Linked DNA regions of Drosophila melanogaster. The gene in region 1 interacts genetically with each later gene. Each region holds a gene or a part of one and is shown in the gene's direction. Other genes may lie near its edges.

Region 1 (5,004 bases):
AATTCATTTTCCAAAATGTGCCACCTGATTTAGACGTGTTTTTTTTTTTTTAAATTATTTCAATACGCATTCAAAGTGTATTCAACAATTTTAAAGTAACGAAAGATATCGTTTTTAGAAGCAAGTACCGTGTAATTTTGTATCATCGTTAAATAAACACAGGGTTTACATTTAAAAACAAAGTATTGTGTGTGTTTTTTTTTTATTAGGAATTAAGATTATTGGTAGGTAAGTCAATTAGTTGTTTGCACATATGATTTAAATTTGAACTAGATCCTGGTATGCTATCCTCTCTGTTTTCCGAATATTATCGTTAAGTTGTGCATCACCGCCTGGCGCTGGAACTCCAGTTCCCGCCTACACATGCCGCCCAAGAGTGGTGGACACTGATACTGGATGTTCTCCTGGGCAAAGGTATCACCATTGGAGTTTCTGAACGTGAATTCACTCAGTGATTGTACTGCAATAGAGATTCATTTACGATTAGCGAGGGCATTCATATCACTTCCGTCTTATCTTACGGCAATAGAATCCGGCAAAGAAGCAAGTCTGATGCGTGGACTTAATGGCATAGGCCACGGGCGATACTCCGGGTAATGACTTGGTGACCACGTACTTGGCCGTAGCCGTATTCAGCCAGTATGGCCAATGGGATAGTCGCTCTGTGTACTGCACCGTGTAACGCCAGTCGTGGGCGTGGCCATGATCAGCTAGGATCTTGAAGTTTAAACTGTGTGTGATGGGGAAAATATCTGATTATCGTATAAACTGATTTAAGTTTGAAGAAAGAGTTTTCCTTACATGGTGGGATTGAGCAGACGCATCTTATTAAAATCCGCCACATACTCCCAGACCTTTTCCGGTTGACTCTGCTTGATAATGCCCTCGATCTGGTACTTCTGATAGCCACTGGAGAAAACGAAGACATAGAGGAGCAGGGCGGTGACGAGGAGCACCGATGCCCGCTTAATATTCGACAGGCGGGGTGTGTGCATCATGGATAACCGACGTCGACTGGCGATTATTGTGTGTATATATGGTGGACTGACTATTCGAATTTCAAATGAACATGTGCCACAGAATTCACCACAAAGATTTTGATAAACAAAAAGGCTTCTTATAAGTACAGTGGCGGCTGGAAAAGGGTATACATATATCTTTCTTCTTTCGTGGGGAGTTTTGTTGCTTTTGTTTTGTACACTATGGGGTTAAGACTTTCCTTTGAATAACAGTTTATAATGAACTGGTATAGCCTTAAACTTAAAAATTATAAGAAGGGCCTGTATTTATATGGTCTTTATATCTCGTATTTGATCATTTCTTATGTTTAAGTTTGGGTAAAATTTAAAAAAAAAAATTTTAAAAAGCAAACTAAGAATGTCAAAATTTAGATGCTTGAATGTTTATAACACTTGTAACTCTTTGCAAGGCATTACATCTGTATAGCAAATATTAATCATTTATTGTATACTGTACTAAAATAAATGAAATTAAACTCCATTCACTTATAAGTAAACTGCTGTCACTGCATCTTCATTTCTGCTAGGTTTTTTGCAGGTCAAAGCTCTGAAGCGTCAACCCCCTGGTGGCTCCCCCCCCCCCATACAATCAATCAACCGGCAAAAAATTTCAAATGCTGCCTAACACTGGCACTAGAACAAAAGCTTTGGCGAAAGCTGCGCTGGCAGCTCGTCCATATGATCGTCACTCTCAATTTAGTTTATAAACAACGCTCGCCGGCTGCAGTTGGAAACGGAGAGCGCGTAATCGGCGATATCAATTCGTAGGACATAGGACCGCCGTCAGCATATGTAATTGCTTATCACAGTCTGACTGTCCGAAATCGCTCCAGCGACAACAGATCCCCCAACAACTCGTGCCACCCCCCGCAAATTGCCGGCTTACGTAAGCCAATTGTATTCGTTTTAGCTGAGAGAACATCAATCAAAATACAAATAACAAAAAAACATGCGGCTATTGGCCAGACACGCGATTCGATTGCTGGGTCAGGAGAATAGCGCGGGCGAGGTGGCTTCACTTTCGAGAGGAGCAATCCGGCTGAAGGCCACAACCGGTTACCTCAATCTGGCCACGGCAAGTGTTCAGCCATTGGAGCCGGAGAAACAGGTGCTGAGAAAGGTGAGTACTCCATTTGGTGGGCACAAAGTTTCCGTATCGATTTCGCTAATCGAAAATTTAACCAGAATTCGCCACTCACGGACTCCTTTGGCCGGCATCACACCTATTTGAGAATTTCTCTAACCGAACGCTGCAATCTGCGATGTAAGTAAACCAACCACCTATGTTTTCGACCCTTATCAGTTTGCCCTGTTATTGTTTTACCTATTTGATAATACTCGCAGTGAAGTGGATCCCAGCCTTGATTGAATAATGTGGCGAAATTCGTGTCTTACACACGCACAACTGCGGTCAACATAATAGTTATGGAGTCCAACCATATCAGCCAATTGTTGACAAATTAGAGCAGATGGTCTAATTTCATTTGTAGCTGCTATTATAATCAGATAATTTTGGCGACATTAACAACGTTTCTGATTTCGATTACTGATAGATAGCAAACCCCCCATTGATATTAGATAATTTAATGTTCTTAACTTGAATTCGAGAAACTTCCATGATACTCTTCAGTTAACTTTTATTAAATTCCAATTGGAAAATTCTATTATAACTATAATGTGGTCATATTTTCAGGCGACTACTGCATGCCCGCTGAAGGCGTTCCGCTACAGCCGAAAAACAAACTCCTGACCACCGAGGAAATCCTTCGTCTAGCTCGAATTTTCGTGGAGCAGGGAGTGCGAAAGATCCGCTTGACCGGCGGAGAGCCAACTGTGCGCAGGGATATCGTAGAGATAGTGGCACAAATGAAAGCACTACCCGAACTGGAGCAAATCGGAATTACCACCAATGGCCTGGTGCTGACACGCCTGCTGTTGCCGCTCCAGAGAGCTGGACTAGATAACCTGAACATCAGTCTGGATACGCTGAAAAGGGATCGCTTTGAGAAGATCACCAGGCGAAAAGGATGGGAGCGGGTGATAGCCGGCATTGATTTAGCTGTCCAATTGGGCTATCGCCCCAAGGTGAACTGCGTCCTTATGCGGGATTTCAACGAGGATGAAATCTGTGATTTTGTTGAGTTCACCAGGAATCGTCCGGTAGATGTGCGGTTCATAGAGTACATGCCATTCTCCGGAAACAAGTGGCATACAGAGAGGCTCATTTCGTATAAAGATACCCTGCAAATCATTCGACAAAGGTGGCCAGACTTCAAGGCCCTTCCCAATGGACCTAATGACACTTCTAAAGCCTATGCAGTTCCGGGATTTAAGGGTCAGGTCGGTTTCATCACCTCCATGACGGAACACTTTTGTGGTACCTGCAATAGATTGCGACTCACTGCGGATGGAAACATAAAGGTGTGCTTGTTTGGCAACAAAGAGTTCTCGTTGAGAGATGCCATGCGAGATGAGAGTGTTAGCGAGGAACAGTTGGTGGATCTCATTGGAGCAGCCGTCCAGCGTAAGAAGAAACAGCATGCAGGTGAGTTTCGATTCCGAATGAAACGTAGAAAGTCTTCAGAACTTGGTACTCCTTCGCAGGCATGCTGAACCTGTCGCAGATGGAGAACCGGCCCATGATACTCATTGGCGGCTAGTAGACACACCACACTCTCTCCCCTCTCCCGTTGCAGATGCTGCGCCAAGACTCCATCATCATCTTCATCCTTATTCGTATCACCACGCATATCATACTTCAAGGCTGCAGCTTCAGGCCCGAAATTACAGCCAACTCACCCATGTCGATGGCCAGGGCAAGGCCCAAATGGTGGATGTGGGCGCAAAACCTTCGACCACAAGATTAGCTCGTGCAGAGGCCACCGTTCAGGTGGGTGAGAAACTTACCCAACTTATAGCCGACAATCAAGTGGCCAAGGGAGATGTTCTAACCGTAGCCCAAATTGCTGGCATAATGGGCGCTAAGCGAACCGCCGAACTGATACCCCTGTGTCACAACATCAGCTTGTCCTCCGTGAAAGTGCAGGCCACTCTTCTGAAAACCGAACAATCTGTGCGGCTGGAGGCAACCGTTCGCTGCTCGGGCCAAACTGGAGTCGAGATGGAGGCACTAACTGCAGTTTCAGTGGCCGCTTTAACTGTGTACGACATGTGCAAGGCTGTTTCTCACGATATCTGCATCACAAATGTCCGCCTGCTAAGCAAATCCGGCGGAAAAAGGGACTTCCAGAGGGAGGAGCCGCAAAATGGGATAGTTACAGAAGTCGAATAAGTCGAATACCCGACTAACCGGATTAACCACGATACGGGGAATGGAAAATAAACTACTGCTTACTTGATTTAGCCACAAATATTAAATTAAAAGACTTATGAAGCAAGAATACATAAGTGTAAAAATGTAGATGAAATCACTTCCTTATAGGAAACTAATTTGACTAACATACCAATAAAATGTTTCAGAACAAATGGCATAAAAGGGATAAATAATCATATAGTTTATATAGTTTTTGTTTCCAGTCGGTGGATAGAGGTCCATCCATTTTCAGATCTTGAATGAATCACAAGACACATGACTAATTTCAATCGGAAGTTTAAGGTATCTTTAATTCGTGGCCAGAGTGGGTTAAGTTTAAATGAGGGGAATTGATGGATAGTGTTGGTGTGAAGGTGCGATTGGAGGCGTTTCGCGAACTGCGCCTTACAGCTAGAAGTACATACAACATTAGAAGTGTTCAATAAACGCGGATTATCGCTCGCAAATCCTGGCAGAGTTCCCTCTCAACATAGACACAATAAATACGGTGTGGTGAGGTAATCAATCGCTCTCAGTTGAACACCAGGACATTACGGTTCTCCGCCTTGTCCTCCGCATCGTCGCCCTTGGCTCCTTCGGCAACCAAGTGTTCGCCGCGAATCTTGATATTGTGCTCCTCCTTGAACTTGTTCAGCTCACTGCCCTTTTTGC
Region 2 (5,907 bases), on another chromosome or scaffold:
GTGGACGCAGCCTAGCAGACTGCTTGTGGGATAATGACTTGGAAACTTAATGTCGGGATCTGCGATTACAATTATATGTTATTGCTGAGAGTTAGTGGTAAGAGCTCAAGTTTACCGCCGTAGAGCACCTTGTAAAAGCCCTCCATTTGCGCAATGTCTTCGGCGTGCGGCTCCTTGGAAGTGGAGGCGATCCACAGTCTACCACGGTGCTCGCTGTACCACACTCGACCCTCGTGTCTGTTGGAAAAATGTCATTAGATATAGGAAATCTGGAAATGCGCCTTCACAACCACCCACTTCTTAATGCCCGCCACTAGAAGCGAAGCCCAGGGCTGATGCATCGACAGACACTGGCGCATGTCCTGCATTTCCAGCAGCTCCTTGTCCTGCACCCGATTGTAGGTCCTCTCCAGCCAATCGCTGCCTGCTGCAGGAGCTGGCCAACTCTTGGATTCCTTACTGGGCTTGTAGACCGGCGGCTTGGTCATGTTCAAATGTGGTGCCAGTGTCAAGGCGGAGTGGCCGGTGACCGAGGATGCACTCCAGTTGGATCCAACACCCGAGGCTTTAGAAACGGCTGCTAGTTCGCTGATCACCTGCTGCTCGTACTCTTTGGAGATGGTCGGTTCCTCCGGCAACTCTCGGCCAGCGAAGTCCACCCGGATCTTCCGCTTCATGCGACTGCCGTGCTTTACCTCCTCCATTTCTCGGTGCAGTTTCTCAAACTTTTCGCGCTCAGCGTCGCTCAGCCACACGGAGTTCTCCTAAAAATTAATTATATTAGTTCAAAACGTTGATGCATAATAAACTATAGCTGAAGCAAGCTTATCTTCTTTGAATAAGTAATGATTTCAAAAATTGTTTTGAATAAGAGTAAGCCCACCTGAAAGTAGTCCAGCTCATCGTCGATAACTGTGGTCCTCTTCTCGCTGTTCTTGTCGTACTCCAGCAGACGATCCCTTTGGGCCAAGGCCTTGTCCAGCGCCTGCGTGGACAGTTCCTTGGTGGATTTTTTGCCCTGCTTGGCGGCGCTCTTCGTGCCGCCCTTCTCCCTGGCCGCCTTGGCCAGCTGCTGCTCCTCCTCGGGCGTGCGCACGGGATCGCCGCAGCTCAAGCAAGGGCCGCTTCCCTCCTGCTCGCACACGATCCGGCCGCAGCCCAGGCAATTGTTGATCAACTTGTGCTGGCCCGCCTGGCAATCGCAATGCCGCCGACCCTTAAGAATTATGGTGTCGCCCTGGACGCGACCATCGCTGGCGTACAGATTCACGTGTTTCCCTGACTTGCCCTTGGCACCCTTGCTGATATTTTGCTTGGGACAATTGGGTGATGTGGGTGCCAGAGGGGGCGAGAGATATTTTCCATTGTTCCGCGGCTGTTTGCCACTCAGTAGCATCCGGCGACAGTTTACAAGAAACATGCGGTGCTCCTCGTTGTCCTCGCTCAGTAAATTGCCAAAGTAGTTGTCGAATTCATAGTCGTCTTTGATGTTCAGTATGGCCCTGGAAGGGAATATGAAGCCATTGAGAAACTCATTTGCTCGTATCTGGATGCATCATGTACTTACGCCAACATCTGATCCGTGATTACACAGTCCAGACATTTGGACAACGTGCCCCGCAGGAAATTCTCCATTTCGCAGTCCCAAAGTTTGCCAACTGCTTACAATTGTGAAATAAAAAGGTAAAAACTTTAAAAAATCAACGCAGGCTGTTATCGGCCCCCGATATCGATGTAAATCGAATAATCAGCTGTATGTGTAGGCTATCGTCTAGATGTGAAAACGAATTTAATGTTCTGTAGTTAAAAAACATTTTATAAATGTTTTAAATAATAAGATTGTAGTTTCCAAAAATTATTGTCATACAATTGGCCAATTAGCCATTAGCAACCATTTTCCTAACACCAATTGTTTGCCAACACTCAGAACATATGTTTGAATAGCCATGCAAAGTGCACAACGACTAGTTAATACCGTACAATTTGAGTTTAAAATTCTATGCAATTCAGAGTTAATAATTGGAAAAGATTTGGTAAAATGCTACATCTATAATATTGGTGAGCAGTGTGAGAATATGATATATATATTACAATAAGCAAACATAATGCACAAGAAGCTTAATAAATTGAGCTTCGTAAAATGTGTAGGGTGGAGTAAGTTCAAAGAGAAGTCAAAGCAAATGCTCAACTGAACGTGATAGTTGATGTATACTGTCCGTGGCTTTTTCCAGCGAAGAAGAGTATGGCGCAACAAATGCAAGCCGGTCGCAAATAAATAAAGCCCGCTTTGCAGCCAACACGAATAGTTAGTTCCCAACATGACATCATATCGGCCGGAGTTCTCCGCATCGGAGCAGTCGCAAATAGACGCGGAATTCTCTAGATTGGCCAGTAAGTGGAGAACCATGGTGAAATACCCAGCGCAAACAGATAACGAACCTAACTATCCGTCTATCGAACAGGCAACAAGAGTGTTTACCTGGATCATGCGGGCACCACTCTCTATGCCGAGAGCCAGGTGACGGCCGCCGCGGAGCAACTGCAGCGCAATGTCATCTGCAATCCGCACACCTGCCGCCTCACCGGCGACTTCGTCGACCAGGTGCGATTCAAGTGAGTTCATCCGTGTCCACGAGCCAAAACAACCATTCTCCCCCTGTCATTGGGTTGCCCTTGTGTGGCGCTTTTATTAATAATTATTTATGTGCATATAGCAATATCGTAAAATATCCTTATGTCGCTGCTTATCTTCCTCATTTGTGGTTAAGTTGTTTTTAGTAAAACTTCTATTCATATACACTTTTTTAGAATACTGGAATTCTTTAACACCACCGCCGAAGATTACCATGTGATATTCACGGCGAATGCCACCGCTGCTTTGTCCCTGGTGGCGGAAAACTTTGACTTTGGATCCTCTGGTGAGTTTCACTTCTGCCAGGAGAACCACACCTCAGTGCTGGGAATGCGGGAAAGGGTCCGGGAAAACGGTATATACATGCTGAGGGAGAATGAAATCTCTGGCGGAAAGCACAAGGCGAACGGGAAAGTTCACGAGGTGTCCGGAAAAACAGGAAACTCCTTGCTGACCTTTTCGGCCCAATGCAACTTTAGTGGTTACAAAATCCCACTGGAAGTCATTGAGCAAATCCAAATCGATGGCTTGGCCAAGCCGGGAAAAGAGCTTTGGAGCTCTTTGGGAGAGAAGAAGAAGAATATGCACAACGATTACTATATCTGCCTGGATGCGGCGTCTTTTGTGGCCACCAGTCCGTTGGATCTGCAAAAGTATAGACCAGATTACGTGTGCCTTAGTTTCTACAAGATCTTCGGTTATCCCACGGGCGTGGGAGCCCTGCTCGTGAGTCGACGAGGAGCCGAGGTCTTCCAGAAGCGCCGCTTTTTTGGCGGTGGTACCATCAACTACGCATATCCGCATGCCATGGATTACCAGCTGAGAGAGACCTTCCATCAGCGCTACGAGGACGGCACCCTGCCATTCCTCTCCATTGTCGGGTTGCTCGAGGGCTTTCGAACGCTGGAGAGATTGGTGCCCAGAACGGACGAGTTTAGCACCATGGAGAGGATTTCCAGGTGATTAGATAATGATAAGTCTGATGACTTCAGCCTTATTTTCCAATCATTGTATTTTCAGACACGTCTTTGGTCTGGCCAAGTATCTGGAGGATCAGCTGCGCCAGCTGCATCATCCCAATGGTGAGCCCCTCGTGAAGCTGTACAATAAAGTGGGCTACCAAGACAAATCCCGGCAGGGTGGCATCGTGGCCTTTAACGTGCGCACTGAATCGGGTTCGTTTGTGGGATTCGGCGAGATCGCCTGTGTGGCTGCTCTGCACGGAATACTCCTGCGGACTGGTTGCTTCTGCAACATCGGAGCCTGCCAATATTACCTAGGCCTCGATGAAGATGCTTTGGATGCGATTTACAAGCGAGCAGGTCGCATATGCGGCGACTACTTTGATCTGATCGATGGACAGCCGACGGGAGCGGTACGGGTATCTTTTGGCTATATGACAACTATTCAGGACGTAGACAAGCTGCTCCAGATGCTGCGCTCCAGTTATTTGGCAACCAAGCCGCTGCAGCGGATTCAGTTCATCGAGGAGCAGGCGGAGCAATTGCCGCCGTTGCTGAAGGAGCGAGTCCAGCTCTTGAGGCCAAAACTATTGCAGATGGCCATATATCCGGTAAAGTCTTGTGCCGCCTTTAAGATCGAATTACCGGGCTCCTGGCCATTGACGGATCAAGGTTTGAAATATGACCGTGAGTGGATGATCGTGGACATGAATGGCATGGCGTTGACCCAGAAACGCTGCACGGAGTTGTGCCTAATTAGGCCAGTGATTAAGGTTGACCAATTGGAGCTGCAGTTTGGAGAAAATTCCACCATCTCGGTGCCCCTTTCTCTGGATGACCAGGCAGCCGACACAGCAAAATGCGTAAGCAAGGTGTGCCGACAGCCCGTGGAAGGTTTGGATTGCGGCGATAGGGTTGCCCAGTGGTTAAGCGAAAACCTCGGCATGGAGGGCCTCCGTTTGCTTCGACAATCGGGCCAGAGAAACTCTTCCAAGGATCAGCAGAAGCTAAGTCTGGTTAATCAGGCCCAGTTCTTGCTGCTAAACAAGTCTTCCGTGCGATCGCTTCAATTTGAAGAGCCCCTCGACGAGACTGTGGATCGTTTTCGGGCAAATATCATCATCGACACGGGCAGTGCCTTTGAGGAGCTTACCTACAAGGCCCTGTCCATTGGGGGAATCCAATTTCAGGTGGAGGGTCCCTGCCAGCGCTGCGACATGATCTGCATTAACCAAAGGACAGGCGAACGGTCGCCAGAAACCTTGACCACCATATCCCGCCTGCAGAAGGGTCGCATGCGATTCGGCATCTACATCACTAGGATCCCCCAGGACACAAAAGAACTGGAACCCAAGGAGCAACACATGACCTGCGGCGATGTTGTCCTTGTGGAATAAGCTCACTTTACATCACTTCAGCGTGGTTTTCTTCGTTCTTTGGTTCGTTGACCCGAAATGTTTCTATTGTACATAGTTTTAGCACAATATTCACTAAGTAATTCTCTATTACGTTGCATCACGTTTCGCACTTAGTTTGTTTTTTAAGTACTTCTGAAATAGGAATACGCAAACATTCTTAAAGAAACATTCAGGATAGCTTAAGTTCAAAGTAACCGGATACCTCTTGCCAGTGTCTTAAGCCTTTAAAAGGCCTTAATTGCAAAATAAACACATTGAAATCGATATGTATATACTTGAGTTCTTAGGAAGGGTAATCGAACGTAAATAACGCAACGGCGTAAATAAATGCCGATTTGAATCCAGGCGCCCATTTGAAGAAGTGACGAGCAGGGCTACCAACGAATCATGGAAAGCAAATTTAGCACAAGTTGCTTAACATCAATAATGATAATAATGAATAAAAAGCATCGCGATATCATAACTTCATATCACAACATATCATAAAAATTAATGATTATATTTTCTTGAAACTGTTAAAGTCTATTAAATTACCAAGGCTTGAAAGTGGTGAGGGAGTTTGTATCAATACTCCAAAAATGGCATGGAAGCATTTTCTTTCATTCATTGATTTAGGACATCCTTCTATCTTAAAGCTGTACGGATTAATTGGTACCTTGTTTTTTGGGCTTAGGTAGAGCTTTTATGGTCTATTTATTTGTTATATAAAGCAAACCTAAGATTGAAAACTGCAGCAAATTAACTGTTGAGACCAGTAACATCCGATCTACAGCTCGTAAAATTCATATTTGAAAGAGATACTAGATAGATATTTTTCCATTAACGTACAATACTATAATTTTCCATGGGCTGACAACCCTGTTTTGAAATTCCTGCCCATCGATAGGCAGACAGT
Region 3 (5,343 bases), on another chromosome or scaffold:
CGGAACGTAAATGTTTTAAACTTAAAATTAGACTTGGACATTACCAGGCATAAAATAGAATTGTAATGGAGGAAAGACCATCTAGTCATAAGAATGAAGGAGACAAAGTATTTCCATAGAAAAGAGAAAAAAAATTTTTTTTAATAGAAGTAGTCGGTTTTTTTTTTTAATTTGTATGAGCTCTGGAGCATACATATGTAAATACGTGATACGAAAAAGTAATACGTTTGATTTTACCGTTAACCATGAAAATTAGACCGTTTAAATTGACCTGTAATGGGCAACTAAATGTTACTCGCAACCAAAAGTAAAGGAGGAATTATTTAGCAAAAAAAAAAAACATTGTCTATATTATGGATTACATGTTTTGTGCAGGGTGAAGTACATACATACCCCCAATTGATTACCACTCTACCAATCCCATCAAATCTGAAGTCTATCACGTATACAAATTTTTCAGTTTGCTAAGCAAGCCAAGCCACAAGTGCCTAAAAGAAAATTATTTCTTACCCGGTTGCCCTTTAGGATAACCCTAATTTTACTATAAAGCAATATAGTTTTTTTAGGCTGTAAATGTTAACGCGGGGTTTGTATGTGTAATTAACTTTGTCTGTTTAAAACGGCAACATGTAATTTAAGTCGCAAGATTTTCCGTTTCAGCAACAAAGTCATAGGTCACCGAAAGGCGCTTCTTTGATTTTCTGCTGGCATTTTTATCCATATTTATGTAACCACGACAAGAGTAATGATGAAAATATATTTATACAGATCAGTGTCCCTTGGCGGTATTAACTGTTACGGCTGACAGTTTAAGCTGTCATCTTAATGCATTTGTTTTTTGTTTTTCTTTTGCAATAAAATTTGTAAGTTTTACGCATAATTGAAAGAATAGGTATGCAAGGAGTCATTTTTCGAGTGCAGCTACGTTAATGTTTAACCATAAAATATTGAATTGATTAAATTCGCCATAAATAGCACAGCAGAAACGGTGCAAACAATAAACAAATATTATCGTGTGCAGTTAAAATTGACTTTTTAATGCGGCTCCATTTTTGGGTCGGTGTTTACTATTTGATCAAGGGCTTAAATATTTTTGTCTTAATACGAAAAAACGCACAGATTTGGTAAAGGCTTAACTTAAAATTTCAGCGCCCAATCACCCCCTTCAGAGTTGCCACACGTTGTTACACTAAGTTATCGAAACGAACAGCTGATTTTTGTTTTGTAATATTTGAGGTTGGTTTTTGTTGGCTGAAATATTATTACATTAAATTAGATATGGACCTTTTACTTCAAAGCGTTTGACAAGTTGAACATCAAACGGAAATCTATTATAGCCCCAATTGGCGAGACCATCAAATAATCATTGGAAAACAACCTGAGATGAGTTTTCCAGACAAGGCGGAGCGCAAAAAGTGCTGGAACAACCGGGACGAGTATTGGAAATGTCTCGAGGAGCACGCCCCAAAGCACAGTTCTACCAGTGGGGAAAAGGTACCAACCCCCTGCCAGAGTCTTCGCAAATCATTTGAGCAATCCTGCCCTGGTCAATGGGTAAAGCACTTCGACCGCAAGCGTACTTATGACCAGTTTAAGGAAAAAATGGCCCAGGGTTATGATCCCTTGGAGGACCGTACGAAGGCCGAGAAGCAAGCCAATTAACCCTTAACCCGCCAAGAGTTCTAGGAGTACTGTTGACCAGTTTATACCCGTGTTTGTGTACTTTTTATGGTAAATAAATAAACTATATAATAACTACAAAGAAACCACATTTACAATATATGTATGTACATATGCATTAATGGCAGATGGTACTAAGCATGTCCTAACTTGTCTTCTAAATTGTGGATTGATTTCGTATATACTTTGAAAATAAAGCTAAAAAGTAGTGGCTTATTAATTTATATTTATTTATTTCTCGACATGACATGCCCATTGTGGGGTTAATATTTCTGTTTCTGTAATCAGTGTTCCCACTCCAGAGTTCTTTACTGAATTATCGATAACTAGAAGCAAAATGGTTGCATGCATATTAATTTATGTATTGTAGTTTACAATTTAATTGAGTATCGTCAGTGGTTGCAGCTGGAAACGGTGTAGTTAACGTAATGGAATCGATTACCTTTGGAGTTTTGACTAGTATGTGGGCTTTTATCCCCATAGACTTCTACTTTTCATGATTTTTATACCCCTAGTTAGCGACACATGTTGGCAGGAGCCGGAGAAAGATACAAGTGGTCCTATATTGAGACAACTTATCGGTGAAACCTTTGCTAATACCCAGGTGATTGGAAACATAGTTCCGGACGAAAAGGATATCATACAGCAAGAGCTACGTAAATGGATCGATCGGGAGGAGCTGAGAGTGATTCTGACTACCGGAGGAACGGGATTTGCACCACGGGATGTGACCCCAGAGGCCACGAGGCAGCTACTAGAAAAGGAATGCCCACAACTCTCCATGTATATTACACTGGAGTCCATCAAACAAACCCAATATGCGGCTCTTTCCCGCGGACTCTGTGGCATTGCAGGAAATACTCTCATCTTAAACCTTCCTGGTAGCGAAAAGGCCGTAAAAGAGTGTTTCCAGACCATTAGTGCACTTTTGCCTCACGCTGTTCACCTTATAGGTGACGATGTGTCCCTGGTGCGGAAAACACATGCTGAGGTCCAAGGATCCGCCCAAAAGAGCCACATTTGTCCTCACAAAACCGGAACTGGTACAGATTCTGATCGGAATTCACCCTATCCAATGCTGCCCGTTCAAGAAGTGCTTTCAATTATCTTTAACACGGTACAAAAGACCGCCAATCTGAACAAAATTCTGTTGGAAATGAACGCGCCGGTTAACATTCCGCCCTTTAGGGCTTCCATCAAGGATGGCTATGCCATGAAGTCCACTGGATTTTCTGGCACTAAGCGTGTTTTGGGATGCATAGCCGCCGGAGATTCAGTAAGTTTCGATTTTATTTGTAGTGGTAATCTATATAAGCAGGAGGGAACGAGAGTAAATGTTTAATGGAAGTTTAAAATCCTGTCTCGATTTTTAAACACACTTCCCATTCGTTTTCAGCCTAATTCTTTGCCGCTGGCAGAGGATGAGTGCTACAAAATTAACACAGGGGCACCATTACCCCTGGAGGCAGATTGCGTAGTGCAAGTGGAGGACACCAAGTTGCTGCAGTTAGATAAGAACGGCCAGGAAAGCCTTGTTGACATTTTGGTGGAGCCACAAGCTGGATTAGATGTTAGGTATGTATTGCGAAATATCAAAGACAAACCAAATAAAACATTTGATTTATTTCCTTAGGCCTGTGGGCTACGATCTAAGCACCAATGATCGAATTTTTCCTGCTCTAGATCCTTCTCCCGTGGTGGTCAAATCGCTGCTGGCTTCCGTGGGCAATAGGTTGATACTATCGAAGCCTAAGGTGGCTATAGTGTCCACTGGAAGTGAGCTGTGTTCACCGCGCAATCAGCTTACTCCGGGAAAGATCTTTGACTCAAATACCACCATGTTGACCGAGCTTCTGGTTTACTTTGGCTTTAACTGCATGCATACGTGTGTGCTAAGCGATAGCTTTCAGAGGACTAAGGAATCTCTATTGGAGCTCTTCGAGGTGGTGGACTTTGTCATTTGCAGCGGTGGTGTCTCAATGGGCGATAAGGATTTCGTAAAGTCCGTGTTGGAGGACCTTCAATTTAGGATTCACTGCGGCCGAGTAAACATAAAGCCAGGGTAATATTGTCTCCCTCAACGCTTAGTGCTATATTTATCTTGTGTTCCTCAGGAAGCCCATGACTTTTGCCAGTCGGAAAGATAAGTACTTCTTTGGTCTGCCCGGAAACCCAGTTTCAGCATTCGTTACTTTTCATCTGTTCGCGCTGCCCGCAATACGCTTTGCTGCTGGCTGGGATCGCTGCAAGTGCTCCCTTTCTGTGCTTAACGTTAAGGTAGGTTCCAATCCAATTTAACCACATAGTGAATTTGTGAATGGCGACAGACTTTTACGATTGAAGGTAGTTATATCTTGGCAATCATCAATCAAAGTGAGGACTAAAGATTGCTCTCGAAATTGCTGGAATGTTTCCGTCACCATACTTCTTTGGAAGCTATTAATAGGAAATAGTTTGACAAATTACAGATTTTTTAATGGAAAAGATTTTATAACATTTAAATTAGAATCAACAGGAGTATCTCCTTTCCGTATATGTACATTAAAGTGCTCATACGTAAAATGAAGAAAAAGCCACTTAAAATTTTGAATAATTTCTTAATATATTTTCTTTTAGTTGCTTAATGACTTCAGCTTAGATAGCCGCCCGGAGTTCGTTCGGGCCTCCGTGATTTCGAAGTCTGGAGAGTTATACGCGAGCGTCAATGGAAATCAAGTAAGCCACTTTTCCTTAAATTAAACGACATATTATGACGGTTTTCCTGCGATTATTCTAGATTAGTAGTCGCTTGCAGAGCATTGTTGGTGCCGATGTTTTAATAAACCTTCCTGCACGTACTTCTGATCGACCATTGGCGAAAGCTGGTGAAATTTTCCCGGCCTCCGTGTTGCGCTTTGACTTTATCTCGAAGTACGAATAAGAACTACACAAACGTAAAATGTAAAACAAAGGTATAAATTCCAGAAGTTGGACAGACATATATAGACAGCACATATATTATCTTTATTTTTTTATGTATGATAACATTAAATATAACGTTCAACAATTACACCGTTAGCAGTGTGAGCAAAAACGATTAAAAAGTAAATATTATAAAAGCCCTCAGAACAGAAAAAAGAAACATCAATCGAAATATATTGTAAAAATATTAAATTAGGGAAAGGAGCAGGATCAGACGCGTTATACTAAATGGGATCAGGATCAGGAGCATATGTACAGGAAATGGAAGAAGACAAATTTTAAACCGACTGACTGGCGCTCTCGCCGACTGTTGAAGCTACCGGCCTCTGAAGTCGCAGCGAGGAGCGACATGGCAACGCAAATTGGTATTTGTTATGACTTAGAAGCGCATATCGCTGCTGCGGAACATAGTCCCACAACGCCCGCTCGATCACATGAAGAGCGTCCGGACTGAGCACGTCCGCTGTATACTGCGTAGGAGCCCCAACGACCAAGGACATGGCTGAAATAAATTACAAACATAAAATTATATATAATTGATTCCCAACGATGATGGAAAACATTACTTTGTGCCACTGGTGCCTTGTACAATGACTCCGCCGTCATGCCGCATGTATCCAAAGCGACCACACTGACGCCATAGGGATGCAGCTCCTTGCGCAGCTCTTCGGCACACTTGTCTACGGCAACGCGTGAGGCGTT

Evidence for each region.
Region 2: of Mocs1 (region 1) and mal, changing one enhances a phenotype caused by changing the other (phenotypic enhancement), as found in Drosophila melanogaster (one study listed by BioGRID).
Region 3: of Mocs1 (region 1) and cin, changing one enhances a phenotype caused by changing the other (phenotypic enhancement), as found in Drosophila melanogaster (one study listed by BioGRID).

The regions. Positions count from the first base shown.
Region 1 is NT_037436.4:11,068,847-11,073,850, forward strand, and holds Mocs1 (molybdenum cofactor synthesis 1), read left to right. Parts: upstream 1-1,679; 5' UTR 1,680-1,968; coding exon 1,969-2,139; intron 2,140-2,204; coding exon 2,205-2,283; intron 2,284-2,712; coding exon 2,713-3,564; intron 3,565-3,623; coding exon of another isoform or gene 3,624-3,679; exon of another isoform or gene 3,680-3,715; coding exon 3,716-4,311; 3' UTR 4,312-4,502; downstream 4,503-5,004. Other genes in the region: CG6310 (uncharacterized protein), read right to left, coding at 285-460, 522-730, 802-998; Pfdn2 (prefoldin 2), read right to left, coding at 4,865-5,004. UniProt on the Drosophila melanogaster protein: Isoform Mocs1a and isoform Mocs1b probably form a complex that catalyzes the conversion of 5'-GTP to cyclic pyranopterin monophosphate (cPMP).
Region 2 is NC_004354.4:20,427,936-20,433,842, forward strand, and holds mal (maroon-like), read left to right. Parts: upstream 1-1,739; 5' UTR 1,740-2,318; coding exon 2,319-2,391; intron 2,392-2,462; coding exon 2,463-2,613; intron 2,614-2,808; coding exon 2,809-3,591; intron 3,592-3,652; coding exon 3,653-4,991; 3' UTR 4,992-5,275; downstream 5,276-5,907. Other genes in the region: CG11710 (uncharacterized protein), read right to left, coding at 1-59, 116-237, 298-764, 884-1,502, 1,568-1,635. UniProt on the Drosophila melanogaster protein: Sulfurates the molybdenum cofactor. Sulfation of molybdenum is essential for xanthine dehydrogenase (XDH) and aldehyde oxidase (ADO) enzymes in which molybdenum cofactor is liganded by 1 oxygen and 1 sulfur atom in active form.
Region 3 is NC_004354.4:253,686-259,028, forward strand, and holds cin (cinnamon), read left to right. Parts: upstream 1-1,988; 5' UTR 1,989-2,108; coding exon 2,109-2,139; intron 2,140-2,195; coding exon 2,196-2,956; intron 2,957-3,076; coding exon 3,077-3,255; intron 3,256-3,313; coding exon 3,314-3,742; intron 3,743-3,794; coding exon 3,795-3,957; intron 3,958-4,296; coding exon 4,297-4,395; intron 4,396-4,456; coding exon 4,457-4,600; 3' UTR 4,601-4,784; downstream 4,785-5,343. Other genes in the region: CG42376 (uncharacterized protein), read left to right, coding at 1,384-1,662; CG13377 (uncharacterized protein), read right to left, coding at 4,920-5,143, 5,208-5,343. UniProt on the Drosophila melanogaster protein: Catalyzes two steps in the biosynthesis of the molybdenum cofactor. In the first step, molybdopterin is adenylated. Subsequently, molybdate is inserted into adenylated molybdopterin and AMP is released.